Oreochromis niloticus: one gene and its partners. The protein of the gene in region 1 purifies or fractionates together with the protein of each later gene. This does not show direct contact. Links are inferred from orthologs where the notes say so. Each region holds a gene or a part of one and is shown in the gene's direction. Other genes may lie near its edges.

Region 1 (8,005 bases):
AGCTAGTAAACTGTTTTCAAATACACACGTATTATTATTATTATTATGAACGGAGAAAAAAAATGAATACATGTATTTTTCAATGTACCTGAACGTTGTTATGTCTTAGTCACAGGAAAATCACTCGTCTGTGACGACTGATTTTGTTGTCGCTCTTCAAGTAGAAGAAAGACGAGAGTAGCGGGTATGTTTTCCGCATTTCCATTTCACTGATCGGGAGAAGTGGTACGGGCGTGTACAGCTGGTGACTTGAAGGCTAGAGCATCCCAGTTCACAAGCCTCGTGCTCCAGCCTTTTCGGTCTTCGGAGGACGCGGCCCACGAGACCGAAGGCCGGGTCCTCCAAGGATGCAGCCTCTGAATTGGGATACAGCCCATGTTTATCCCAACCTGAAGGAGAGGGATGAGGCATAAAGCCGGCTGTTAGAGGATTTAAAGGTAGAGCTGTGCAGACCTCACTGCAAAACTTCAACAGATTCTTGTTTGATACAAACCGTCACTGCTGAATATGACACACAGCAAACACTTTGAGCATGATATCAGAAATGAATGTTGACTTACAGGCTGGATATCAGTAAAGGCCTTCTCAACTTCCAGGTTCCTGAAAACCTTTCTTCCTACTTTGTAAGGTGCAGCAGGGAGGAGTGCTGGCAGCAGCTGTAGGGCTACGTCACCTTCCTGTCTGTAAGCTGAGGTTAAAATGTTACAGTAAGTAAAAAAGGTCAATGCAGAAAAACAAATAGAAACATTTCTTCTGAAATACCTTTTGGGAGCAAACCAGTGTTTTGGAGAAGATCACCACTCCTTTCCTTCTTGGCCATGCGCATGATCTTTGTCAAGAACAACAGGATCCCAGAAGAGTCACACAGAAATCCTGTGAAATCCTGTGAAATCCTGTGACATCTGACAAAAGACAAAAATACTGATTGGTTCCTGAGCTTTAAAATTCAATCAAATTCAGCCTTTCTCGTGTGACACTAACATCTGTTCTGGGTGGTGTGATGTTATTTTGATGATTAGATTGGTATTGTTGCAGCTAACTTCTGTTGGTTTGCAAGGAAATGTTTTGTTAGTCTCAGTTTTACCCATGTTCTAATGTGAAGAGTCCTGGTTTGTATTCAGTGTAAGTAGTTTTTATGTTTCCCTTCTGTTTTTTTTTTTCTTTTTTGTAAGCTTTATCCACAATCGCTCAATAAAAATATTTTGAGTAAAAAGATTTGTATTGTAATTGTACACTGTACATTTACACATTGTATTACTTCTGAGTGTTGAACAGGTCCTTAGTCCATGAGATGTGACCTCAGCATGCCCGGGGTGAAAATTTGCTGAAGTGGGACCGTCCCGTTTGACCGGGTCCACGTTGCTCTGTGGATGGCAGTTTGCAGCATGTGTCGGGAAACCTGAGCCAGATGTTGTTCTGTTCTGGTTCTGTGGGAAGCAGAAGTAAATAAATTCAAACCAAAGATAGAAGGCCAAGCACTCAAATGATAAAAGCTTAGATCGCTGCAAAAAGGAAGGGGCTTCAGAAGCAAGTCTATCTTCTAGTACCAGACAAAATGAGGCAGTGTTTTTGGCGTTCCTGTGCTGCTGAGTTCTTCTTCCTGCCAGAACGAAGCCTTCACCTGACACTGCGTACACGTTCCTCCAGAAATCCTGCTGCTGGCCTGAGTTTTCTGCCGGGGCTGAACCACACATCCTGAAAAAAAGAGAAACAAATATGATTTAAAAAATGTTTGCAGTTGTCAAGTCGTCTTTAAACCTGGAGCCATGAGCTCCAACAGCACGCTCGACATGAAGCAGACCGGTGTTTGTTAGGAGATCCAAGCCATGGTCCACAATCATGTTTTACACACTTTAATCTGTCATGAAGTTGCACAAACATTTTGGACAACTTCTCAGTAAATTTGCAGCAGTTGTCATTATTTATGTGTCTACCTAAAAGATGTGCTACACACTGTATGTTTTTAATAATCAATGCTCTTCAGTACACTGACTGAGAAACTGAGCAGTATTCAGGATTTTTAATTGCTGTTGTGTGGATCCAGTGAAGAGTGGATACTTACATATCCTGTGTCCTGTGGCAGTTTGTCACGCCGTCCCTGTGCTCCGTGTTCCCTCTGTTCAGTGTCACGGCCGTGCCCCTGTGCCTGTCGTGTGTTTCCTGTTTTATTTTGATAGTCCCTGTCCTGGGTGCAGTGTGTGTGGGTATGCGTCCCCTCGTCTCGTTAGGTCTGATGTGTCCCTGGTGTGTTACCACCTGTCCCCATCCTCTCGTTGTCCTGTCCGTGTTTCTCTCTGTGCTTAGTAACACTCTGGTTCTCTGTCGTGTTTGTGTTTTCTACTTTGAACTGGAGTTTCTAGTTTAGTTTTCTTGTATTTTATATTCAAACGTTCTGCAGCAGTAAAGCTGCTGCTTGTCGTTAATCCTCCTGTCTCCGAGTCCCGCGTTTGGGTCCTACATCCTGCCTGCCACACAGCACTTCAGGAAACGAATCGTTTTAATATGCTCAAAAGTTAAAGCAAAGATAACATTTCTCATTTTTAATTGTCATTCAAATGAATGTACATGGATAAAAAAGCCTGATGGCATAGCTGAACTTACAAATGTTGCTCCTTTGTCTGAAGAAACTCCGGTTTGCAGTTCAGTAGGTGGTGTAAAATCAGCACATCAGCTTTTTTACAGCTCAAATCCTTTAAAATACAAATAATCACTTTATCCCCTGAGCAATAAAAAAAGACTAAATACAAAGTCTTTCAAAGGTTGCTGTTTGTGACATTGGACTGTACCGTCACTGTGCTGTTAACAGTTCAGCACAGGTTCCCATCTTCAGAGTGATAATAGTGTCATTCCCGGCCTGTAGTTTGTACCTTTGTACTTAATCCAGGATGGCAGAAACACTTGTGTGAAAACAGAACTTCCCTCAAATCCACTTGTGACTTTTTCAAAATCATGTGCGAATCGAGCAGTCTGGTGCTTCCTGGCCCAACGTCAAGGTCAGAAAAAAGAGTGTAGCACATCATTATTTGGTGTCTGTAGGCCTGGGATTTACAAATATTCCAAAAGCTGCAATTCACACGACTTACTCATTAGAAAAATCCAAGTTTGCCTCAAAGCGCACAGACCAGAAATGAACTATGGGCCCAATTTTCCGATGGCTCCAGGATAATGTAGCATGAAATGGTGTTTGGGTTTCAAGTGTCTGTTTTCCAAGAGGGCAGCAGAAGTTACAACAAATACAAATACAACACAAATTTTCTTTATTCCACTTTGAAAGGAAGTTCCCAGGGCCAGATTCAGATAAAGAAGGATTATTTTGAGCTGTAAATCATGCAAAGCTGCTCTAACAATAGGTCACTTTCAACCAATCTCCATACGCCATACGTCACACCTCGAGAAGGAGGCGGGTCCAACAAAATGTGACCACATAAAATGATTAATGTCTCCAAACAGCAACACACACACAGACACACACTGACATCAGAGGTTTGCGGAGTTATGAAAAGTAATTGACTGTTGTTGCTCAGTGGTGATGCGTGCTCAGTCATCCAGGTAATCTATGGCGTTATTTTTGTGCCACTATTCTGAGCGCACGTAAAAAAATTTGAGCACACGTAAAAAAAAATTGCAGGTGCAAGTGTTGCATTTTGAGGAGAAATGTATTTTGAGCTAAGAAAAGCTAAATTTGAGTGAACAAAATTCATTGCTGCGTGCAAAAAATGTATTTCAGTGTTTGCTATTATCCATACACACACACACAATAGCAGCCCCGCTCGCTCAGTTTTTGCATTTGCGCTTGCTCACAATGTGTTGCTTGTGCTCTCAACATTTCTGCCTGTGCGCTTTCAACTCTTTCTGTACACCGTTATAATTGTGCCACAAAACCAGCCAATCACAGACTTGGATGGAAAACATTCTGATTGGCTGTTTTGGTCTCTAATCAGCTCACTGGCTGCTGTAGCTAAACCCAGGCAAATATCCCAGAATGCATTTCATCCAAAACTCAAACGCAGTGGCAGAGGAACGCGCAGTGGCGGAGTTTGAAATATTACTCTTTCTGGGTCACAAAATAAACTTTTAAGATATTTGATGAATGGCGCTGTGTAAACTTCAAATATCTGCTCGATTTATGAAGCCATCACATATTTGCAAAAGTGCTCCAACGTTTTCGGAGATGCCTGTTACCCACCAGCTGACCGGGTAGTCAAGGCGCGGCTCCCAGCACATCGTTTTCAACCCCCCCCCCACTACTCAGGTTAAACATAATATATAAGTCACTTAGATCAGCGGTCCCCAACCTTTTTTGCGCCACGGAACGGCGCAAAAAATCACAGCATCTGGGCCCAATCCTCCGAACTGCAAGACAGCTTTTTCCCGCAAGCCTCACACTACCAGCTCCCCCCACCAGTGTTGCCAACTCCTCAGTAAGGAAAATCGCTATTGGTTGTCCTAAAAGTCGCTAGAAGTCGCTAAATGAAGTCATCACCTAATTTGCATAATTGGTCATGCTAATATAATTGTAACCTATGTTGTTGGAGAGAGAAATAACATCGTGGAAGAGACATAAAGTGAGTAAAAACGTCCTAAATGCATTTAGAGTTTATTTAGAACTACAAATTAAATTTCTTTTAGCAATTATTGTTTTTTTTAATGTCACAATTCCAACCCTGCTCCTTTACCCGGGCTTGGACCGGCAAAAGTGATCCGAAATAGGCACTCTGGTGGAGTTACTTTGTGTGTGTGTGTGTTTATAAGTAGTTTTAAACCTTGTGATCCACAAAACAGCATAAGAGTAAAAGAGTAAAAGAAGAACTGACTGTGTTACAGCACCCGCTGCTTGTTGAGAGTAAAAGCGATACGCGCTTTCACGTCTTTTTTTAGCGACTTTTTTAAGAAAAAAAGTCGCTAGGGGGTCTGAAAACTCGCTAAATATAGCGACAAAGTCGCTAAGTTGGCAACACTGCCCCCCACCCTAAGAAAATTTCTCTAGATCCGCCCCTGGGCTGCACATCAGAGCTCGATTAGCAGGGCTGGAGAAGCAGTTCAGCGCTCGGTTCTTTCTGCCTCTGTTCAGCGTGGCGTTAGCTCGGTGTGCAGCACCGAGGGTCCTCCAGTTCGGTTAGCCGCATTCTCTTGGGTTGAAGATGGCGAGTGAGTCGGTGAAGCTGTCCAAAAATCTGCTGCGGATGAAGGTAAGTGAAGCTGCGCGTGCTAACGGACACGCGAGAGCAGCTAGCAGCCGATAGCTAGCAGAACGTTAGCTTTGTAATGCGCCGGCGCATAACTCCACTCAGCAATCCTGATAATTTAAGGTTTTCTGCTTCACAGGAAGTTTTAAATCGTAAATAGAAGTTGAAATTGATTACCGGATGTCGGGTGTGACCCAGAGAGTAAATCGGCGTGCAGCAGAGTTAATAACAGGCTGTAAATGTAATTTATTAATAAATAATGTGTGCCAGTCTGAGACTCTAAAGATAAACTCTGACTTTAAAATGATCTCTCACGTGATGCGAATCTGAACCCGTGTGGATGCTCAAGTATTTGTGTTACGTCACGAATAATGGGAACGACGGCTGAAATTCATGCTTTAAAAACTGTATCAGAGTCTGATATGACGTCCAGGGGGAGGTAATAACCTGCAGGGTGCTGGTTTGTTTCCTGGAGAGGCTGAACCAGCGTGGAAAAGATGTTTCTGCGGCCTGATGCTTTGACCAATCAGAATAAAGCCCTCTCTGCTGATTTTCACCTTTACTTTAAAAATCTGTTCTGCAGATGTGGAAGATTTCACACTGAGGGAAACAACTGTGGTTCTCTGCAGATCTCAGCCAATCACAACTGAGTGCAGTAAAATCATCATTCATGAGAGCAGGTGTGGTTAAAACCTCACAGAAACGTCAGCTGAAGGTGACGTGTGTGTGTGTGTGTGTGTGTGTGTGTGTCCACAGTTCATGCAGAGACGTCTGGACGCAGAGACGAAGAAGCAGCTGGAGGAGGACGAGCGGAGGATCATCAGTGATGAGCACTGGTACCTGGACCTGCCTGAGCTCAAGGCTAAAGAGTATGTATGAGCGCCATTCAGGCTCCGCCCACTTTAATTCAAGCAAAATGCATAACAGCCTCACCGCACCGTCGTTAAAGGACTTTTTTTCATGCAGCTGCTTAATGTGCAGTTTTCTGAATGGAGTCTGGTTTGAAGTCTGAACTAGAAATGGACCGATCCGATATTACGTATCGGTATCGGTCCGATACTGACCTAAATTACTGGATCGGATATCGGAGAGAAATAAAAAATGTAATCCGATCCATTAAATATCAAAAAAACACCTCACAAAACTTGCGACACGGCGTAACTCGGCTCATAACCGTAGCACGTCGGAGCAGTGTGATCACGTGATAGAGCAGCTGTGTGTATTTGTAGCCTCGCTACCAAACCAGCATTTCATCTCCGAGGAAGTTATCCCAGAGAGAAGAAAGCAAGTGTGTAAGTTCATCTCTGAATGTTTGTAAAGCGTTCCCATGTTAAGCTTAACAACCGATATATGGAGCGACTGCCTCTCTCCCTCCCTCTCCTGCTGCTACTTCAATCGTGAAACTGATCAATCAGAATACTTTATTGATCCCTGGGGGAAATTATTTTTTGTTACAGTGCTCCATTATAAACCAACATTAACAAAACAGACAACACGCTAACTAAGAATAGTACTATATATATATATATATATATATATATATATATATATATATATATATAGTGTATATATATGTGTGTATATATATATATAGTGTATATATATGTGTGTATATATATACATAAGTCACACATTAATAAATAGCTGGAAAGAAACATGTAGTTGTAGCAGTAGCCAGTGTGTTAAGTGGATGCGTTGTACAGGGAGATGGCCACAGGCAGGAATGATTTCCTGTGTCGTTCAGTGGTGCTTTTCGGTATGATGATCAGCTGATTGGCTTTTCTGTCGCGAGTCCGTCTCTCTTCTTTGTTTTTGGCCCACTTTGCTCCAGAAAGAGGAAACCAGCGGCGGAACAACAGCAGCACGTTTAACCTTGATAAGCTGTTGTTAGAATGTATTTAATATTACTTTCTACACCAGGATCCTTTTCTACGTAGCTGACGGCTGGTAACTGTGCAGGGGCGGATCTAGCAAAGTGTAGCCAGGGGGGCCGATGGGGCATGAACAGGGAAAAGGGGGCACAAAGACATACTTTTCTTTCTTATTCTCATTTAAAATGTCTAGCTTTTAATAAATAATTATCTGAATCTTACACCCAAAGTTTTAATCTGATGTAACATGTATAGAAGTCCATTACTGTATATAGTAACTGTTAAGTCTAATATACCCTAGTAAGCTATAGTACTTTTTCCTTTGGGAAGGTACCATCTGTGCAGTCTGCAGTTCTGTAGAAGAAAGATGTTGAATCTATTTAATTATTCTTGAAAAATAATTTATTTCTGTGCATTTTTTTTCACCCTGCATCAAATTAAAGTTGATTACATCGATTAAGCATCATGAGGTGGAGGGTGGGGGGTGGTTCCCTATTTCTTTTTTTGCTGGGAGTTTGCAACCCTGTTAGTTAGGTTGCTTAATATTTCTGCTAAGTACTCTTTAAAATACCAGAATAGGGAGGATGGAGCAGGTTTAAGTTTATTAGATTGATCAGTGTTGCTGAACTATGAAATATTTTGGGTGCAGTGTATTTTTTACATACAGGTATAACAGAATAGCTTTAGTGTTGTTGTTTATTTAAACTTGAGTATGAACTTATACAAAATGCAGCAAGATATTAAAAAACAGTTTTATTGATTAAAAAACACACTATATCGGATTCATTAAGGTATCGGCAGATATCCAAATTTATGATATCGGTATCGGACATAAAAAAGTGGTATTGTGCCATCTCTAGTCTGAACACACAGTGAAGTGTGTTTTAAGTCTTTAGGGGTCAGAGGTCATGTGATCATGGAGGCGGATGATGTTATTCTGGAGGTGTT
Region 2 (6,573 bases), on another chromosome or scaffold:
TTCCTTTCATCTAATTGGTCAAGGTCATGTCAATCACAAATGTAACAATCCAATCAAAGAACAGATGGGTTTGGCTGTCGGAGGGGCGCTTTTTTGAACTGCAGGTCCTTGAAAGGTAATACAGTTTGAAGCTGGAGGATCTCTATATAAATATCCAATAGAAGCTAGGTCCCCTAACCCCTATCTATTTTTATTACCCATAACGGTAAAAAAAAAAAACCCCATCCCAAATCTAGATCTTTAAAGACTTGCAACTTGAGCCAACCTTTAAGTCTGTGCACAGCTCTTTGAGTAATCCTGTTAACAGACCAACCAAACCAGTTACAGATTATTTATTTTTATTCAGATGTGATTTTCTGAGCCTTGGGAGTGATCTTTCTTTAACATTGGAGTGTCTCTAACTCGTCCTCTACGTGCCACCCCTCTCACTTCAGTTGTAGGTTTTAAATAAGGCAGTCTGAGACTGTTTGCCTGCTTCCTCGGGCCCGGATCGGAGCAGATGAAGGGCCGGTGTTGTAGTAAAGTTGCATGTCCATGTGTTCCAGCTCCGTATTGCAGCGCGTCGTCTTCGTACGGTGTGAATAATCTGCTGTTAGATCCACAGCACTAAAAACTCTGACGTCTTTGTTTCCTTCGGATGTGACTCTTCGTCTTCATGAGGGACGGCTTCATAGCAACAAGAACAAGTTAAGACTTTAGGCAACACGAGTTTAACTGTCAGGTGTAACACTAGTGTTTGTTTTCTCTGCAGTACGAAGTGGTTTGTAACATTGAAGAACTTTTTCTTTGGCTCTGGGTTGTTTTTTTATATTTATCATTTCTTATGTATATTTGTTTTTTAAGAAAAATAATAAAAAAAAATACTAATAAAAAGGAAAATTTGAATCTGTGCTTGGTATTTTTGTTGACTTTCAAGATCTGTGTGTTATCATATCAGTAGGGAATATGATTGACAGATTAATCGTTTGGCCTCCGAAATGCCCGAAAATATCCAACAAATGGTCCCACATGGAAATGTATGTACACAACCTGACAGGACATGTTGGTGGTTATTTTTCTGTTGATCTGAACAATAATCTGTCTTCTTACCCTTTTGTGACACTTTAAAAAAAATTTTTTAGCCAAAATCCACATACTGACTGGCCGATTTATTAGGTACACCTGTTCAGCTGTTAACCCGTTTCAGATGAGTGCAACTCTAGACATGAGCAAGACGACCTGCTGAAGTTCAAAGTGTGGATCTGGATGTGGAAGAAAGATGATTTAATGGACTCGTGATGTGGTTGTCCGTGCTAGACAGGCCGGTTGGGTCATGTTGATTTCAAATGACCTGACTGCCTCAAGCCAATACAAAGGCTACAGCAACCAAAGTACAGAGGAGAGCTCTGAACATGTTGAAGAAGATGGAAAAATGACGCCCGGTCTGATGAGTGTCAATTTCTGCTGGTAGGATCAGAATCTGGAGTGAACAACATGAAAGCATGGATCCATCCTCCCTCACATTCACAGTTCAGGCTGCTGGTGTAACCGTGCAGGGGATATTTCCCTGGTACACTTTGGGACCTTTAAATGCTACAGTCTGAGTATTGTTATGACCACAGTGTACCCTCTTCTGATGGCTGAAAGCAAAAGCGGGTCCAGCCCGGTTCCGGTGTCAGGCCTACTGATATCTTCTGTCATTGTACCAAACCTACTTCCACCCCTACTTGTTAGGAGCTTTGGGCCCCTTGTTTATATATGAATTAATAAGTTATCATTTTAAGAAACATCAAGTTGATGTTCATAGAAGTACACACATACACACACACTATTGATTACCTACACACATCAGATATTGATAACCTTTAACTGACCCCTGATCTCCTAACTGTTCCTCAGGCCTGACTCTGGGATCCTCTCGTACTCGCTGTCACTTTCATCCAGTTCGCTGTCCTATATTGAAACAATGTTAGGGTCTGATGTTGGATCAATGTTAAATTCTGATTCTGATTTTCCACCAAGTTTGCACCCTTGGATAATATTGAAGCAACAATACAATCATCATTAAAAACCAACAGGACTTCACAGGTATTTTAATCAATACTAAACCACTGCAAATTACCATCAATACCTGTGAAAAAGACAATTGTGTATGATATAAAAAAAAGATAACCATTATCTGTTAAGCATTATGTTACAATTTAACATAATGTAAAATTGTAACATTGTAAACATAATGTTACAATTTAACACAATGTAAAATTGTAACATTGTAAAAATAATGTTACAATTTTAAATTGTAACATTGTAAAAATAATGTTACAATTTTACATTATGTTACAATTTAACATAATGTAAAATTGTAACATTGTAAACATAATGTTACAATTTTACATTATGTTAAATTGTAACTGTTAAGGGTGGTGAGTTAGCGAACCCAGACGCGAACCTCTCGTTTAAGTTGAACAGTGTCTTTATTTACAGTGAAGCCAAAACCAATCCACAGTTATCCACAGTGCAAGCCCCTTCAGTGCTCCTCTCCCCGTCTCCCCTCGTGTGTCCACAAAACTCCAGAGAATCATTGAAGTCTCCCCTTCCGTCTCGTTCGCTTCCAGGCTTGGTGCAATACTCCAGCGCTGTCTGTCACTCAGCCACACCGTTAAATAGCCCTGCCAACGATGGTGGATAATTGGCAGTAGCTGGCGACGAATCGGTCGCAGGTGAGGCAGCTCAGAGCGGCAGCACTTCCGGGTCTGAGGTCTTCCGTTGCTACGCGACCGCGTGACAATCGCAGCGGAGCCGGAGAAAAAGCAGAGCGAGAGAGAGGAGAACAAACACACACACAGGTCGACCGGTCGGGGCACCGTCCGACTCTGACAGTAACATAATGTAAAAATTGTAACATTATGTTTACAATGTTACAATTTTACATTATGTTAAATTGTAACATAATGTAAAATTGTAACATTATGTTTACAATGTTACAATTTTAATGTAAAATTGTAACATTATGTTTACAATGTTACAATTTTAATGTAAAATTGTAACATTATGTTTACAATGTTACAATTTTACATTATGTTACAATTTAACATAATGTAAAATTGTAACATTATGTTTACAATGTTACAATCAGTAGTGGTTTTAGATACGGGCGACACGGGCAGTTGACGGGGCGGCATCGTGTTGGGGGGCGGCATCACGGGCATCGGCAAAATAAATAAATAAATAAATTGCTCGTACTCATGCTGCCCCGACATCAGCCAGCGCATATTGGGAATGGCATAGGCACCGATCGGTTTTCTATCGCCCATTTGCTGGGAGTAAGGGCGCCCTCCGTTTGCGAGGTGCGCCTGCTTCTTGCAGCACAGGGAGGAGAGGGCGGGGCGGCGGGGATTCTCTGGCTGGCTGGAGCAGCATCTAATACCAATTAAAATGTACAGTAAGTGCCATTAAATGCACAAAATGTAACAACTAAAGAATCATTAATTATATAATGTGACATAACTGTTTTATTGTAAATTAATTTAGATTAGATCCTCTGTTTGTCTACATATTTATGTATTTATTTACTTCTTTATTTAGGTGTACAATGATCTTCACTGTAAATGACACTTTTTTTCTTGTAAATTATAATGTTACTCTTGGATTTTTGTTTTTTCACTGTTTATTTAATTGTTTGTTGATACAATTGGGACTTCACTGTTGAACCTTTTTTCTCAGACTCATCCCTATTTTTTTCGTTTTTCTTGTCTTTCAATCTACTGTCATACCAAAGTATCTGGAGAATAAAATAACACTATAATAATGTATGATTTTGTTCTCAATTTATAATCACTTTGTGATTTTAAATAACATATTTAATAAAGAGACATGTTAAAAATGAGGTAAAGATCAGTCAGACCTGGTAACAATGATTTGGGTCACACATGTTTTTGTTTTTTGTTTTGTTTTGTTTTTTAAATCTACCAACAAATTACTGGCATGTTTGGCAGCTTGTTGTAATACCTCCCGACTGACAGAGGGCGCTGTTGGGTGTTTCCTGCGTGTCATGCTGGGTTTTTTTCCGGTGGAAAACAACAACAACCTGTTGGAGGAGTTAACGCTGAAGAATAGGCGGCAGCATGTTTTCTACCGTGAGGGAAAGGGTTGGGGAGGTGCTGTTACCGGGGGACGAGTTCTCCTTCGAGGCCGAAGAGAAAATTTCTCTGACGGCGCCGGTGAAGTCGGAGAAGGTGGTGTGCGGTCCGGGCCTGCGGCGCTGCGGTGACCGGCTAGTGGTGTTTAAGAGCGGCGTGCTGCGACACAAGGAGCCCAACGTGTTCTGGATCGATTCCCAACAGAGAAGGGTGAGAGAAATATTAGTAAGATAACGCCAGTGTGAGTTTCTGCTAACATAATTCATCGATAGGCGCTGGTTTTCTGCTCTCTGGATGCTCGTTCATCTAGAAACCTGGAAGCGTGAAAAGTGTGTTTCTCTCAGTGTTCAACCCCGAATTAATCACAGCATCAAGCAGACCTCCGGAAGCTCTCATGTTTTGGTCTGAAACTTCCTCCTGCAGGTTAATTCATAAGTATACAAAAATTTAAATGGAGTCTGGCAGTCTCCAATGGAAGTGCGCAGTAAAGCTGCGTCGGAATGTAAAGCAGTGCGTGCTGGGAGCTGATTATGTCTCTTTATCCTCAGTATGTCCCAGCTAAAGGAGAGAGCATCATCGGGATCGTCACCGCCAAATCTGGAGATGTCTTCAAGGTGGATTTCGGAGGGAGTGAGCAGGCGTCTCTGTCCTACCTGACATTCGAAGGGGCGACCAAGAGGAACAGACCCAACGTCCAGGTATCCAAAATCAGACTGGAGTTTGGTGTGCAGGGAACTCTAAATAGAGGTAATCCACCTTTAGGTTAAAGAGAGCCACTGTAATGATTCCCCCTCTCTCCTCCCTGTGTGTTTGTGTGTCACCTGTACAGGTGGGTGACCTGGTGTTTGCTCAGTTCCTCATAGCCAATAAGGACATGGAACCAGAGCTGGTGTGTATTGACAGCTCAGGACGAGCCAATGGGATGGGAGTGTTTGGAGCAGGAGGTCTGCTATTCAGAGTCTCTCTCGGCCTCGTCAGAAGGTAACTGAGCCACGGCGCCCTCTGCTGCTCATGTAATGACACCAGCATTTGTGTTTAGGATCTTTTTACCTCAGCCTAAACATTACTGCTTCCCCTCTTCAGGCTGCTGGCACCCCACAGCGACATCCGCTCAGACCTCGAGCAGCTCTTCCCGTGTGAGCTCGTGGTCGGGATGAACGGACGCATTTGGGTCAAATCGGCCACCGTGCAGCAGACGCTGATCATCGCAAACCTGCTGCAGAGTGCCGAAACCATGACGGCTCAGCAGAGACAGCAGCTGTTCAGGAAGGTCCAGCAGGGGGCGTTCTAGACGACTTCTGACCTCCAGCACATGGACTGAACCAGCAGAGGCCACACTGTAGACCACTTCAGACCTGAGTCCAGGTGTAATGCTGCAGTGATGTCACTCCTGGGCTCTGTGACATCACACTGAGCGTGGCTGCAGCTGTTCAGTGTTTAAAGGATCATTACATGTTTTCACATGGAGCTCCAGTCTGAACATTTTTGAAAAGCAGATGTTAAAGAACCAAAAACCACAAACATGACAGACTATCAGGATGAAAATAAATAAAACTGGGGGGGGTAATTTTAAAAAATGTATAAAAATGTCAAAATTATAAATGTTCAGAAAAGTTGATGATTGTCCAAAGAGCGGCTCCTTCCTACAATCCTGGAGCAGTTTGGTGACAGTCTGTGCCTTTTTCACCATGATGGAGCACCACGTCACAAGGTAAAGTGATCCCTCAGAGTTTCAAAGATCTGCAAATTAATATCTCAGATCCAGGACCAGAAAATTCCACAAGTCTTAATGAGATTGAGAATCTGTGATCAGCTGGAGCGCTGATGAGGCAGGAATGGATCTCCAGTACATTACGGAGATCTGTAGAGGTTACAAAGAAGGGTCAACTCTGTAAATACTAACTCTGTGCATACATTTGATTTATTTGCCAATAAAAGCCTTTGAAATTTATGAATTGCTTTGTTCTCTATGAGTTGGAGACATTTAAAAAAAGCTGAAGCACAATTTTTTGATACTGTCAAAACTTTTAGTCATGATTGTTTTGTTTTTTTCTCGGCTCCAAGTCCAACATGAACAGCTCGGCTTCCTGATGGCAGACACAGCAGCAGCAGCAGCAGCATAACTGGAGACACTGAGTGATAAAATTTTGTATTTTCATGATTCCTTTAGATTTTCAGATAGTCTGAAGTTGATAATTGTCCCCGTGTTGATGAACCCAAAGATGGGATCAGGATCAAAATTAGAAATGAAGCATAACGTGCATTTTCTAAATATGGATTTAATTTGTTACTTCTGGTTTTTAAAGGGGTTTAAATTTAAGTGTTAAGTAAAAGTTTTGTTTTTAATTATTTTTTTATTCTAAATAACTTTGTGGATGACCCTCAGCATCTCTGTTGACCACCAGGGGGCGGTGGAACGTGGCAACACATAAAAACGAAAACAAAAGAAAATAAT
Region 3 (6,030 bases), about 5.7 Mb from region 1:
ATTTTTTTCTGACTGGATTATAAATTCATGAAGTAATCACTGTTGCCACCCTTACATTTGACACCCTCTGTAACTCAAAGTTGAAGTTTAATCTCTTTTTAGACCCACAGTTTTCCTCAGCTCAGGGTTGATAAACTCAAGAGTTGTTAGCTAAACCTGCTTCCTGGAATAGGTCCCAGAAACCTAGTGTTTACTAAAGCAACCAAGGTCCATTTTCCCACAGACCATGACATTGTTTTGGAATGTCGCCGCCTCTTTCTGGCCATTAAAAAGATTGCAGGTTTAAGGCACTTCCAAACTGGTTTCACTTTTCACATCACAAGCTTTATCTATTTTTACATACAGTCAATGCTCCCAAGGCTCACTCACCCCAAGTCCATCCAGATCTGTTTGCACTCCAGGTCGGGCTCCAGGCCTGCATCCTCATTACCTCCAAAGTAGGTGACATACAGGCGCTCTAAAGGAATACCAAACTCCTGAGTCAGCAGCTCCAAGGCCATCTTACAGGCCAATTCCTGCAGAGCAAAAATGATGCAATAACAATTTAGAGCTGTTTAGACACCGTCTTGTCCATTAATAATGATAATTAATATGTCATTGTAATATAACAAGCAACATTGACAGAAAGGAGAGAACAGCAAGATTCTCACATAAATCAACTTTAACCACTTTACCCAAAAATATAAAAAGAATGAGATGAGGTCCAGGCTCATATGTTCAAGCATTTTTGTATTAGAATTATCTCCTTTTCCATACTAGCGAACAATTCCCTCATTCTTATTTTGAAAGTGCCCTTTTCCTGTGCCTCTACAATGAGCTCACCAGTACTACAAAGCTGAACAGCTACTGTCCAAGACAAAGAAGTTATAGAGTTGTAGACTGACTTGAGAGGGAGCAGATTATGCTGCCCAGTTATACATTTGTCACAAAATACTTGGCAAACAAAATATTTGCAGAGGAGAAATTTATAAATGGTGAAAGCGCTTGCAGCAACGTGTGTGTATACTCGAGCACCATTCCACAAACATGATCTAAATCTGTGGGAAAGACTAAAAATACAAGTAACAAAAAAGTTAAACTGATGTATTGGATGAAAAAAATGTAATACCTTAAAGTAGTCCCCAAAGGACCAGGAGCCCAGCATCTCAAAGAAGGTGTGGTGGTAGACATCTTTACCCACATCGTCCAGATCATTGTGTTTGCCTCCTGCACGAATACACTTCTGGGTGTTGGCAGCACGATGCAGCCTGGCCATGGGATGTGATGGATCAATAGTGTTGAGGAAGATGGGCTTGAACTAAAGGAAATGAGGTGCAAAAACAAAAAATCTTGAGAAAAAAATTATTTTTTTCAAGAAAGTTTGCTAGATCTGATTTCTGAGCCTATTCTAAAAGTTGTGAATCAGTGGGTACATAAAAAAAAAAGCCATGGTGTAGGAAGCAGTGCTGGGAAAGACATGGTGTGTACCTGGTTCATGCCAGCATTGGCAAAAAGCAGCGTGGGGTCATCCAGGGGGATGGTGGATGAAGAGTGAACATACTGGTGCTCATAGCGACAGAAGAAGTCAATGAACTTCTGGCGAATTTGAGCTGCATTCAAGGAGGAGTCCATTCTGAAGAAGCTCTGTGAACAAAATTACACACAGAGAAAAGAAACACTTTAGCTATCAAGCACATTTAAGGAGGTCTTGTCCAAATGCAGCCAGTGATTTTTTTTTAGTTAATTCTTGGTCCAATTAAATTGTTCCAGGTCAAAGACAGAAGGATAATTTAACCCATAGAAACTGGTCCCATTTAGAGAGGTGGATGATTATTTGGTCTGAGTAACAGCAACTTTTCTACTAAGTTATTAAAACACAATTAAGGCCTGTTCTTCCCTTTCAGGCAGTAGTCACCTTAAGGGTACACTCTTAGTGCTCTTGTATCCAAATACTAATTTGGCAAGTACAGAAGAGGTAGGTAGGTAGGTAGGTAGGTAGGTAGGTAGGTAGGTGTGTGTGTGTGTGTGTGTGTGTGTGTGTGTGTGTGTGTGTGTGTGTGTGTCACATCTTGGGTAAAGCTTTTTAACCAGCTGTTTAAAACACTGCCTTAATTAACAGCATCAGCAATTTCCCATGGGTTTCTCTTCCTGTCATATGACTTTGCAACTAGCGAGAGCTCTGGCAAGGCTGGTGCATAAGTTTGGGGTTGTACAATTTTCTGTCATATTTTAAATGCAAGTAATGTGCTTTGTTGGAAGCTGTTGAAGTAGCTCCTTTTTAGGTAGTAAAATGTCATTCAAGGCAATCCCATATAATAAAAAAAGAATTATACACTTGTCAGTGCTTTTAAAGGCTGGTTAAAGAACCGTCCAGTATTGGCCAGAAAATACATGACTTTGTCCATAAAGTATCAAAACATTATGAAATTGTTTATCGGTCATTCAAGTGTCATGCATGTTTTGATTTTACCACTCCACACCAAAAGCTTAAAATTAAGTCTGTTTGTACGGTGTGGCTGTTAACCTAGCTGCAGCTAATTGGCCTGAGGCTCTCCTCATAAACAACAGCAGCTCAGGAATCCAGTAAGACAGGTGAGGCGCACAATGCTCTAATCTTAAACCATGAAGTCAAATCCAATTTTAGGTAAGAATGGAAACAAAAGCACTTTATTTGGACTTTTGCAGTACACATATTTCATTAAAAATGTGATACCATATATAATTAAAAGGCAGCAGAGCTCAATTCCCATTGGTGTAAACTAACTGCCAAAGGAAACCTCAGCTGGTGTTTTCAGCTTTCTGGGAATAAGGAGTGGATGACAAACAGCCCATGTCCCCATCCTGACAACAAACCATTTAGCGGGCAACCAGAGAAAGAAAAGACGTGGGGTGTAAGTATTAGCCCAGTGGTTTTGAGAAATAAATAATGGTACATTTTCAAGACAAAATAGGGACATATATAATCATAGAACAGGTAGACGGAGACCAGGTTGATGATAAATACTGGACCCATCTTTCAGGTTAGTGACAGGAACAGCCCTGTTCTCTGTCTCCATGGCACAAAACCAGTGAACTTAATCTCGCAAGTCTAACATAAACTTCCAGACCACACAAATTTGTGACAGTCATGTGATACAACATATTTCCTCTTAAAGTGCTACCAAAAACCGACAGTCTGCAATGTAAGCTAGTCAGCTGACTATAATTGCTATTCTAGGTAGAGGCACTAGCTTGATCTGACGTTAGCAGGCTAATGTGTTAGCCAGTTAATCAAGCTACCTCCCTGCACTCAGGCTGAGATAGACAGTTCGGCACACTGCTCTAACTGAAAGGCTATTCTGCTGAACAGTACAATGAAGATAGCTTATTTCAACTACATTTAAACACATGAAAATACTCACAGAAGCCGCTATTCCCGCAGAATGAATCAGGTACTTCTCCTTCACTCCACGCTGCTCAAACAGAAGGAAAGCACAACCAGCGGTCACACCTACGACAGCCTCCAATTGGTCCGGCTACACAGAAACGTCAGGAATCTGCTTTCCTATTGAACAAATCTACTGTCCTTCTTAACAGAGCCCGCCACGGCAGCGATACAAACCTCCGTGCTTTGGCTGATGCAACTAAAACGGTGTCAGCTCAGATTTTTGTTGTCGTTTTTAAATATATTAGTTGATGTAGAGAAATATGTGAGAAAAGTCCGCAAGCCCAATGAATTCCAGCTTTTGTTTCAAGTCGAGCCGAACATGTATTCTAACTTTTTTAACTAATGTTGTTATTTATTTATATACATTTTTAAAAGAAATGATTGTATTCTGTCCTTGATCAATAACATGTATCACTTTTTTGTGACTGTTATTTTATGGCAGAGGAACTGACTAGTAATAATGATGAAATATTGCTGCATCCGTACGTACTCGATATTTCGCTTTTCTGATGTAATATCCTTCAGTGTGCGTATATTAGCGGAAGCATTTCTCCCGCATGCTATGTTTCTAGGGGAAGAGATTTCGTGCGGGACCGGTTGCTTGGGTCATTTACTTCAACATGCCGACTGACACCAAACGTGTTCGTGGTCCAGAAGTGTCTCAGAGCCCGTCTCTGTTTTCGTGCGATCCGGCGGCGGTTCTGCCCTCGAAGGGGCCCAGAGCGGACGGTCGGCGGCGGGATCAGGTCGACGTCCGGCCCGTTTTCGTCCGCTGTGGCCTGGTGAGCCAAGCTAAAGGCTCCGCGTACTTAGAGGCTGGAAACACCAAGCTGATGTGCTGCGTTTACGGCCCCAGAGAAACAGACCGGAAGGATGAGACGGATATGAAATGTGGAAGGTATGGAGTTTGTTTGTTTTAAATCTTTAAGCATATTGACTGCTCTAACAACACAACAAACAAAGACATAGGTTTCTGATGATTAAACTGTGAAGTCATAATAAAAATACAGCCTGCTGTGTCTTACATGGACAGCAGCATTTTGGGGTTTTCTTTATTTCCACCACTGTTCTAAACTACACATGCGTGAAAACTAGTCTAAACATTAATAAACCCCATAAACAATCGAAATGCAACAGAATGTTAACTTTTGCCCAAAACAGTTGCTGGAGACATTATTGACTTAATCCAAATGCAGCACTTTTTTAGGGGAATAAAATGCTTTTTGACATATCCATAAATCATAAATGTTCACAAAGAGGCAACTCCTTGTGTTTGATAAGAGTTTTTGCATTACTTTCACTGCGAACTGTTATTTAGTACCATAGTTGGGTAGAAAACTGAGCTTATGTGGGTATACCATAAAGCATTCAGTTTGAAGTGGACACTGATATCTGTGAGAGTTTAAAAAAAAAAAAGACTCAACCACAACTGTTTTTCTCTGTGTCCAGATTGACTACTGACATGCGCTTTGCTCCATTTTCCTGCCCGGAGAGGGGCTCCTGGATTCAGGGGAGTCAGGACAAGGACTTTTCCCTGATGTTACATGAGAGCCTGCAGCCCGCCATATGTCTCCACAAATACCCTCGCTCTCAGATCGAGGTCAGCGTGATGGTTCTTGAGAACAGCGGTTCAGTTCTGGCCCATGCCGTCACATGCGCCTCTCTTGCGCTTGCAGATGCGGGGATCGAAATGTATGATCTGGTGCTCGGTTGCTCCATGCGCCAGGATGGCACCTCCTATGTGGTTGACCCTTCCTACATGGAGGAAAATGGCTGCAGCTCAGTGAGCTGTGAGAACCAGGGCGGTCTGACTGTCGCATTCCTCCCAAGCCTGAACCAGATTTCTGGACTGCAGTCTGATGGAGACATGACTGAAGAGACTCTGACCGCTGGGGTGAGGACCTGTATTGAGGGATGCTATAAACTGTACCCAGTTATCCAGCGTGCCCTGACAAAGGCTGTGCGCAAAGCTGCTCCATCACAATCAGAGAGCTGAGTGAACCACGAACTCCTCCGTTTAGTTTTTCCTGTAGATCATTTCCAATCGTTAGTAAAGAACATGATCTATTTTTCCATGTGTGGTATTAGTTTATATATTAAAAGAAAAATATTCACTCTGAGATTCGCCTCTTTGCATTTCCTCATTAAATATAGACAGTTAAATAATGTATATTCTCCCTGGGATTTGACACTAAATGCTTCCCACAACACTGGAGAGAAATTGTTCAACTGGTATATTTTTAGTAGGTGAACTCTGGCAATGCAAATAGCCTCATATAAGCAATATATGCAATATAATTACAGATGGATTTGGTCACAAAAAGTTTGTCAACACCCTCTGTCACAAACAGAATTACACAACCATTAAACTTGTCCTTGTCTTGTGTCCTGGCAGAGCAGGTAAGGTATGGCTACATCTGTGTCAACATAATTTTGTGTTCTACAAGTCATCCTCATACCATTAGGGGGCACCCTAATGTTTTAGTGAAATCTGGCTGTGGTTAATGACTATCTTTACCACAAACATGCTGCAGCACTCAAGCTTTGTACTTACCTTTATTCATCACACAAGCAAAATGTTATTTGGAGGTTCCAGCAGACTGTAACATATCTGGGATGAACAT
Region 4 (7,552 bases), on another chromosome or scaffold:
ATATGATTTCACGAAAATTTAAGTGATCCCAAGCCTTTTTCACCCTTCAACCACAAAGAGGATGGCTCACCACTTATACTATCCTTCCAGGGTTTAGTAATACATTGAGCAGTTCTCAACACAGTTATATGTATGTATATATATATATATATATATATATGTGGAGAGAAAGGGAGAGAGAGTATTTTCTTCTGTGTTCTCTGATCAGAATAAATACTTTTACACACCGAACACTTAAAATCTGTGAAAATATTTTATGGCTTAAAAATATTTTTCCGAGCCACCTATCTGTGTAATTTTGTGAGTTGGATCTGCAGCATTAATTTCTTTTCGGACGAAGTTCAATTTTTTGGGATTTGTGAATAAAAGGATCTGAACAATCACACCACTGCATTTGGCAACAAGCACGTTCGCAGCTCAAAAAGCGCACTGTACTGAATAAACAATGATGGGGAACTAGTGAAGTAATACTATTTTACCTCACAGACACACAGCTAGACTTTGCTCCGGGTCAGTCGGCTCTCTGAAATTATTTCTCTGCCCTCTCAGATGTGGCTTCAAAATTTAATTTGACTTTTTCACAATGCGCTCGGTGTGTAATGGCCTTTACACTAAATTGTCCAGCAATCCCTTTGCTAAACATATGACAAATTGGTTAAGATTTGCAAATTTCTGCTTTTAATATAGTCCAGGTGAATGCACATTAAAGCTAATACTTTAAGCTAAGACATCATCATGTGCCAACAGTGGAGGCTGATTCCTTACCATCGCTCTACATGGAGAGAGGAGAAGGTCTTGAGTGCAGCCTCACGTGTGAAAAGCTTGAAGCCACACTGAGTGTCCTTGATCCCCTTCACGCAAAAAAACCACACCAGGAAGTGGAAGCCATACATAAGGAACGTACGAAACAAAGACCGCTGCAAAGACACCAAAGTGTGGTCATTTACTGTTCTGAAAAATAATTTCGAACACTTTTCTTTTTAAGCAGTATAAAATAAAACCCTGTTACCTGAGCTACAGAATCTTTCTCTAGGTGAGCTCTGGATCCACATGAAATTGCCATGTTCTCCTAGACGTGAGAGCAGCACATGAGGCATTAGGCTTGGCCACATTTTAACCACTTTTACACACTTATATATCTAATAAGTGAAACTGAATTTAAAACAGAACAGAACACCATCACACCGGTTTGGGGTTGAGGTCATTGAGTCCACCCTCCACTTTCTCAATGTCAGAAAACTTTGTGGCTCCATCAGCATCTGCCATCAAAATGACTTTCCCTCTGGAGCTCAGAGTTCCCTTTAAAAGAAAAAGAGATAAAAACAAAACAAAAAAACCCAAAGTCAGTTCCAAACTGCTGCTTTAGGGTTCCCATTTGGACACACTGTAATCTCACATCTACAATCTCACCATCCGCACAGCTCCTCCTTTCCCTCTGTTCTTCACCAGCGTCAGGACGCGCACTTTATCAGCACTGTACTTCCTAGTGTACCGCAAAGCAACCTGCCAGGACAACACAACAGTGTCCACTCATGAAACCGATCTATACTGGTTGAAAATGTTTAGCTGAGCAAAACGGAGTTGTGCTAAAATAGAAGGTCTGGTTACATTTGCCCCAAAAAAGATTTAAAATTATTACCTCTGTGGTTTTGTCTTTGCTGCCATCATCCACCACGATGACCTCATAGGTAAAAGAGGGGTTTTGTTTCTGCAGTCAGAAGAAAAAACAGACAAAAAAAACAAACAAAAAACAGGAGAGACTTGTTTCACAACAGCCACTTTACCCAGATCATTGTTGCCACCTACTGGTAAGTCTGAGAATAACATATCCAGCAATATATGTTTTGTTTTTTTTTTTTTAATAATGAACATTATCCATCATCAGTGCAGACAAAAAGGCACTAACATCAGTTATTCAAGAAACCTATATACACAAGGTTGCAGAAAAAAGGACCCAGTGACCAAAAAATGTAAACAAATTATAAAAAACAAAAAAAACAAACTTGAACTGTATCTCTGAAAAGGTGTGGTCACCTTGAAATAAATTCAAACTAATGAACAGAACAAATAATTTAAGGGCTTTCTTGTCATTAAAATTTTTAAGCCATCTGTTTATACATAGTTTAGCTTTAAAGTATATACATTTATTAACTAATAAATGTTCCTAATAAAAACACAGTCCTGATAACAGTCTTTCTTTTGTTTGCTTTTTGTGTGTCAGATTTTGATTATAAATAAATATCCCAAATGTAATTACAGTTACTGTTAAATGTGGTAATTGGATATCCGGTGATACATTTTGTTTTATATGCTTTTAAATGTGCTGCTTTTTACTGTAAATATAATTACGCTTTAATTCAGGCTCTGCACTTACCTGCCTGTTCTCCAAGTACTCCATAGCTTCATCCATCATCACTGGTACTGAAGGGACACAGTAACACACATATAATAGCAAGTACAACCTACTGCACAGTGACATGACGTCTGACTGCACCAACCTGGATGGATTGCACTACTAACGCCTAATGAAAACTGACTATTTACAGTGTGTGTCTAATGTGGGCATTCATAATGACTGACTGAGCAGAAAAGCAGACTTTACTCACATCGGAGCTCCTCGTTGTAGGCCGGGACCACCACAGAGAGCTCCCTGGAATGGGGATCATGTAGACTGGGGAAGAGCCGCTTCTCTCCGGTGGCGGTGAGAAAGTGTTTCTCCTTCTCATGGCGTGTCAGGTCCACCATCCCTGCGGTTAAGTGTGCTATTACGAGCAACTGAAAAGTGAGAATTGCATTTGATTTACAATTGAATCTTTCTACAAATGTGGTGCAGTGATGCGTTTTGGCCAAATATCTCCAAAGCACATTGTTTCACAAGTCTTGTGGTTTGTTCAGATGTAAGACTGAAAACCTACGCTACGCTCCCATGTTCTTTTTAGAGAGAAGACCTTAAAAGACTTTCTAGACTCATGAGAACCACCAATTGCTTCTCTAGCACAGAGAAGCAAGTTGATGATGAAAGACACAATTGATGTCTTTCCTCCTTGGCATTGTGTTACCCCACCCTAGAATACTCCAGACCAGAAAACTTCCTTCTTTTTTTTTTATAGAGGTGCTCAAACTTGCTGATCATTACTTAATAGCAGGCACCTGACTGCTAATTACTCTCTGCATTCCTATGTCACATTTTGTAGTTCATCTGAGGTTGTATTTACTCAATTTTAAGATCTGCTAAGGACGAGATTATTTTTTATTATATCCTAAAATGTAAAACTTTAGAAACTGGTCTATATCTAAAAGAATGCGAGCAAATATGTACCATATGTTTCATATATGCTTTCAATAGTCAATAGGACTAACGCTCTGAATAAATACCAATCAATACAGGATTTATTTACAACCTAAAGATCCGGTATCAGCCAATGTCTAGTTTTTCTGAATTAAATGTTGCTCCTTTTCATGCTTATATTACTTACGAGATATTTTTTCTGCATGACACTTGACCCCTCTGTTGCTTTAGAGCAGAATGAAGAGGAAGTATCATAAAACTGAGGTACATGAACAGGCCTGTAAAAGTCTACAAGTGGCCCGAGTCAAACACAATGCTCAAGGATAACTTGGAAAGTTTTGAAAAGTACAAAAGGAAAGATACCCACGCTATCACTGTAACTGTATTTGGGCAACTTCTCCCAAAACAACTTAGCTACAGCATCTCTCATCCAAAGCACTGATTACTCACCACGATGAAACCTACAGCTGCCAGTGCGACGAGGGCTTGAACTATTTCACAGAGGAAATCCATTTTCCATCAGGTTACCTACCCTACACCCACTGACAGACAGACCACCTGCAGGGGGCTAGCTCAGAAGCTAGCTGGCTTTCTCCTTTCCCTTCCTTTATTGACACACAGCCTGTGTTCTAACCTCCTGGTGTGTCCAAATATATGTACCAAATTACGACCTTACGATATTATTCAGAAGGTTAAAATGTTTAATATGAGTCCTTATGTTTCCATTGCTGTGAGGACACTTCACCTAACTCCACTTCCAATCACAACTGAACACAACGACGATGCGGAAGTAGTGACTGTTTTTTCTCCCACATCATCATATTGGAGCAGGAGAACAACGAGCGGCACAGTGCCGCTCGGCGCTGGGGCACACTGCCTCATAGCGGACAGGGGTGGAAATGGTGGCAAGGACTCTCTCTTTAACATGTACATAAAGAAAAAAAGGGAGGTATAATGCTAGGAAAAATATTAGCATTTGTCAAAGCATTAAAGACTTTTCTTCTAGTCTACAACATTTTGTTGTAACATTTATGGAAAACAACAACCTGCATCCCAGTCCCCCAATTCCCTAAAGGTCATATTTTGGACAACGACCTCTCAAAAATTATTTTGTAAAATCTATCGGAAATGTTTCCTGAAGATTTCCTACAAGGTCCACAAAAATATAAAAAGCAACTCAATAAATGGCTGGAGTTTATTTACTTGCAACTAGATTTGACCAGAGACGTCTATGGACAGGTCATGATTTGGTTACAAACGCGTTTGGTTAAACTTTGGTTATGCGCTTCTTCCTACCCGGCTACCGTAGGTCATAGCGCAAACCCACGTGGTTAATCAAAACATCATGGCGGCTGGCTTCAAGTAAGAATATACAAGCTCTCCGTTCTATGTTTGGGAAAATATCACTTTTAGTTTGCTCTGTTTATTTTTTCCTGTACTTACCAGCGGAGTAAATGCATATTTGGTGTTATAATAAATTAAATTATTTATTACACAAAATAAAACGAAAATACCGGACATCATGCATGTGACAAAGAGCGCACTTTATTCATTCTTGTGTCACAGCTGTAGTTTATGACTGGCTCAGATATTTGTCATTGACGTGTATAGCATGAGTACTCGGTCACTCTCTTCGCTGTGCTGTTTCTGAGTGAGCTTCTGATGTGTCGGTGCTGTGGCTTCCTTTACCGCGTTCCCTTTTAACTTGCAGGACTGCTGAGCCTCTGGAGTACCACCGGAGCTTTCTGGTCAGTGTTGAAAACAAGTTCATCCCACACGTGACAGACAAGTGTTGCTCTCTGGATGGATATGAACTGTTATTTGTTTCTCGTTTCTCTTTAGAAAGAAAACTGTCGGCCTGATGGACGAGAGCTGACTGAATTCAGAACCACAACACTGAACATAGGTGAGACTTCCCCACAGTGTGTGAGTGTGTGCGAGGTTTCTGTAACCTACATAGGATTTTTTATTTTATTTCCATGTTTAGGGTCAATTTCTACAGCAGATGGCTCAGCCCTGGTGAAGCTTGGAAACACAACAATCATATGTGGAATTAAAGCGGTAAACACATTTGTTTTTCCTTTTTGTTGTTTTTTTTATTTAGTGAGTGTGGGCCAGGTTGATAAGTACTCACTTATATCTCCCCCTCCTGCAGGAGCTAGCAAACCCTACAGTGGAGGCACCTGGTAAAGGCTACATTGGTAGGTGTAGTAAGAAGTCTTTGTTTTCTCCCATTCTTTCTTTGTTAATTATCTGATATCATGTCATTCAAACAATGATCGCATCTCCATCAGTGCCCAACGTGGACCTGCCACCCCTATGTTCCTCTCGCTTTCGGCCGGGACCACCGGGAGAGGAGGCCCAGGCTGCCAGCCAGTTTATCGCTGATGTCATTGAAAGGTGCCCGACTTCAGTATATGTTAGCTTTTTTTAAATGTTTATTTTAAATGAGTGATAGTTTTTAAACCTGGTGCTGGTTTAACTAAGTTTTTATGTGAATTTTTCAGCTCTGAAGTGATAAAAACAGAGGATCTGTCCATCGACAGAGGAAAGGTAAACCCAAGAGTCACGGGGCTACACTGACATACAATTTGACCCTTAAATATCCAGCCATGGGTACTAAAACTGCGGACTCTTGTTGCAGCTCTGCTGGGTGCTGTACTGTGACCTCATGTGTCTCGACTATGATGGGAACATATTGGATGCTTGTGTTATCGCACTCTTGGCTGCTCTAAAGAACAGTATGTAAATTTCTACTGTAATGTAAATTTTAAAAAAAGTCCATGTGTCTTAACTGGTAATAATGGAAACAAATCAGTAGTTCTTCTTCTTTAAGCAGTACATGAACTTAACAGTATCCTGGCTCCTCACAGCACGACTCCCAGAAGTCACCATCAACAAGGAGACCTCTGCACCAGAGGTGAATTTAGAAAAGAGATGGGAACTTCAGATTCACAAACATCTAGTCAGCGCTTCTTTTTGCATCTTTGATGAGTAAGTTAGTCTAGCCATTATATATATAAAAAAAAAAACAACAACCCAAAAAAGAAATTTATAATCTCTATTTTTAAGTGACATGTGCTTCTTTTTCTAATCCTGGCCTAATCTCGCTGCAGTTCCATACTGATTTCGGACCCCACAGCTGAGGAGGAGACTCTGTCAACAGCACACCTGACGGTGGTGACTGATGAGGATGACCGGCTCTGCTCTGTGCACAAACCAGGTGAGGAATACGTTTGAAGCGATTTGCCTTTCTAGACTGCATGGTATGTGGCATGAACCTAATTTGGTTGAAGATATTTTAGGCTTATCCCTTACTGCAAGAGCCAAAATCTGCAACTGATTTGCCAGTTTTAATGCTAATGTCCTTCCTGGCATGACGCCAAAGGGGATTTATGTTTCTAGTAGGGGTAGAGTCAGCGATCCTTTGTTTGCTTGCCAAGAAAATGTGTTAACCACTACACTATGGAGCTACTCCTTTAACCTGATTTGGCATTAACACAAAAAAAATGTCCTCAGAATACCCCTGTTGTATGAATCAATGCATGTGTAATAGTAACACCAACATAAACTGACGGCTTCAAAATGAACACTCAGGTTAGGTCAACAGAAATAAAACAAAAAGCAAAAAACTCAAAAATGCCAAAAAGACATTTTTAACGTAACTGGGAAATACTGTTCTATACATTGCTACTTGTTGCTCAGGTGGGACATCACTGTCAGGAGAGAGGCTGCAGGAGTGTATCAGCCGAGCAACAACACGACAGAGAGAGATCCAGAAACTCATTGCCAAAGTTGCACACAGTGTGAAGAAGGCACAATAATGACACTCGGACGATGCTTTTTTTTTATCTAAAAGCTGTATTTTTCACTGTCAATATATATTCTTTTTTTTTAATAACAATAAAACTGCTGACAAAGACCGCTTTAAAAAATTATTTCTCAGTGTCCGGAAATGTCTCACACACACACTCAGTTGATGTCTCGTAAGAATACGCTCATGGCTCCTGTACTAATTAAAAGGAAATGCCTTTTCAAAATGTGCTGTACAAAAGCAGGTACACCATCTTGCATGATGATCTTGAGTCCTCGTTTGAGCCCTGTGCTGGGACTGCTTAAGAGAAGAAAGACTTCCAACAGACTGAGAGGTAGAGAGCTGCCCCCAGGCACAATTCCAAGATCAGATTTGCATTTCACATGTAACGGTTACACAGGGAGGATTTGGTGTCGGTAAGCTCAGTCGGGATCCGTGCTTAAAGGGCA

What was found. The genes of interacting proteins can lie anywhere in the genome.
Region 2: the proteins of mphosph6 (region 1) and exosc3 purify together in Homo sapiens (affinity purification with mass spectrometry; 6 studies listed by BioGRID and IntAct, counting the BioPlex papers as one, with this or other methods). This does not show direct contact. The link is inferred for Oreochromis niloticus from reciprocal best matches to the Homo sapiens genes MPHOSPH6 and EXOSC3.
Region 3: the proteins of mphosph6 (region 1) and exosc6 purify together in Homo sapiens (affinity purification with mass spectrometry; 3 studies listed by BioGRID and IntAct, with this or other methods). This does not show direct contact. The link is inferred for Oreochromis niloticus from reciprocal best matches to the Homo sapiens genes MPHOSPH6 and EXOSC6.
Region 4: the proteins of mphosph6 (region 1) and exosc8 purify together in Homo sapiens (affinity purification with mass spectrometry; 4 studies listed by BioGRID and IntAct, counting the BioPlex papers as one, with this or other methods). This does not show direct contact. The link is inferred for Oreochromis niloticus from reciprocal best matches to the Homo sapiens genes MPHOSPH6 and EXOSC8.

What each region holds. Positions count from the first base shown.
Region 1 is NC_031972.2:1,932,317-1,940,321, reverse strand, and holds the start of mphosph6 (M-phase phosphoprotein 6), read left to right. Parts: upstream 1-4,992; 5' UTR 4,993-5,141; coding exon 5,142-5,189; intron 5,190-5,942; coding exon 5,943-6,055; intron 6,056-8,005. UniProt on the Homo sapiens protein: RNA-binding protein that associates with the RNA exosome complex. Involved in the 3'-processing of the 7S pre-RNA to the mature 5.8S rRNA and play a role in recruiting the RNA exosome complex to pre-rRNA; this function may include C1D.
Region 2 is NC_031966.2:9,765,290-9,771,862, reverse strand, and holds exosc3 (exosome complex component RRP40), read left to right. Parts: upstream 1-4,017; 5' UTR 4,018-4,103; coding exon 4,104-4,328; intron 4,329-4,666; coding exon 4,667-4,816; intron 4,817-4,947; coding exon 4,948-5,099; intron 5,100-5,201; coding exon 5,202-5,409; 3' UTR 5,410-6,069; downstream 6,070-6,573. UniProt on the Homo sapiens protein: Non-catalytic component of the RNA exosome complex which has 3'->5' exoribonuclease activity and participates in a multitude of cellular RNA processing and degradation events.
Region 3 is NC_031972.2:7,647,216-7,653,245, reverse strand, and holds exosc6 (exosome complex component MTR3), read left to right. Parts: upstream 1-3,978; 5' UTR 3,979-4,026; coding exon 4,027-4,304; intron 4,305-4,855; coding exon 4,856-5,402; 3' UTR 5,403-5,526; downstream 5,527-6,030. Other genes in the region: aars1 (alanine--tRNA ligase, cytoplasmic), read right to left, coding at 370-515, 1,109-1,297, 1,468-1,611. UniProt on the Homo sapiens protein: Non-catalytic component of the RNA exosome complex which has 3'->5' exoribonuclease activity and participates in a multitude of cellular RNA processing and degradation events.
Region 4 is NC_031975.2:15,850,854-15,858,405, reverse strand, and holds exosc8 (exosome complex component RRP43), read left to right. Parts: upstream 1-4,548; 5' UTR 4,549-4,634; coding exon 4,635-4,651; intron 4,652-5,000; coding exon 5,001-5,037; intron 5,038-5,131; coding exon 5,132-5,195; intron 5,196-5,276; coding exon 5,277-5,350; intron 5,351-5,444; coding exon 5,445-5,490; intron 5,491-5,583; coding exon 5,584-5,689; intron 5,690-5,796; coding exon 5,797-5,842; intron 5,843-5,933; coding exon 5,934-6,030; intron 6,031-6,162; coding exon 6,163-6,283; intron 6,284-6,405; coding exon 6,406-6,512; intron 6,513-6,994; coding exon 6,995-7,113; 3' UTR 7,114-7,225; downstream 7,226-7,552. Other genes in the region: alg5 (dolichyl-phosphate beta-glucosyltransferase), read right to left, coding at 766-917, 1,010-1,069, 1,186-1,299, 1,411-1,503, 1,640-1,708, 2,375-2,421, 2,607-2,775, 3,740-3,802. UniProt on the Homo sapiens protein: Non-catalytic component of the RNA exosome complex which has 3'->5' exoribonuclease activity and participates in a multitude of cellular RNA processing and degradation events.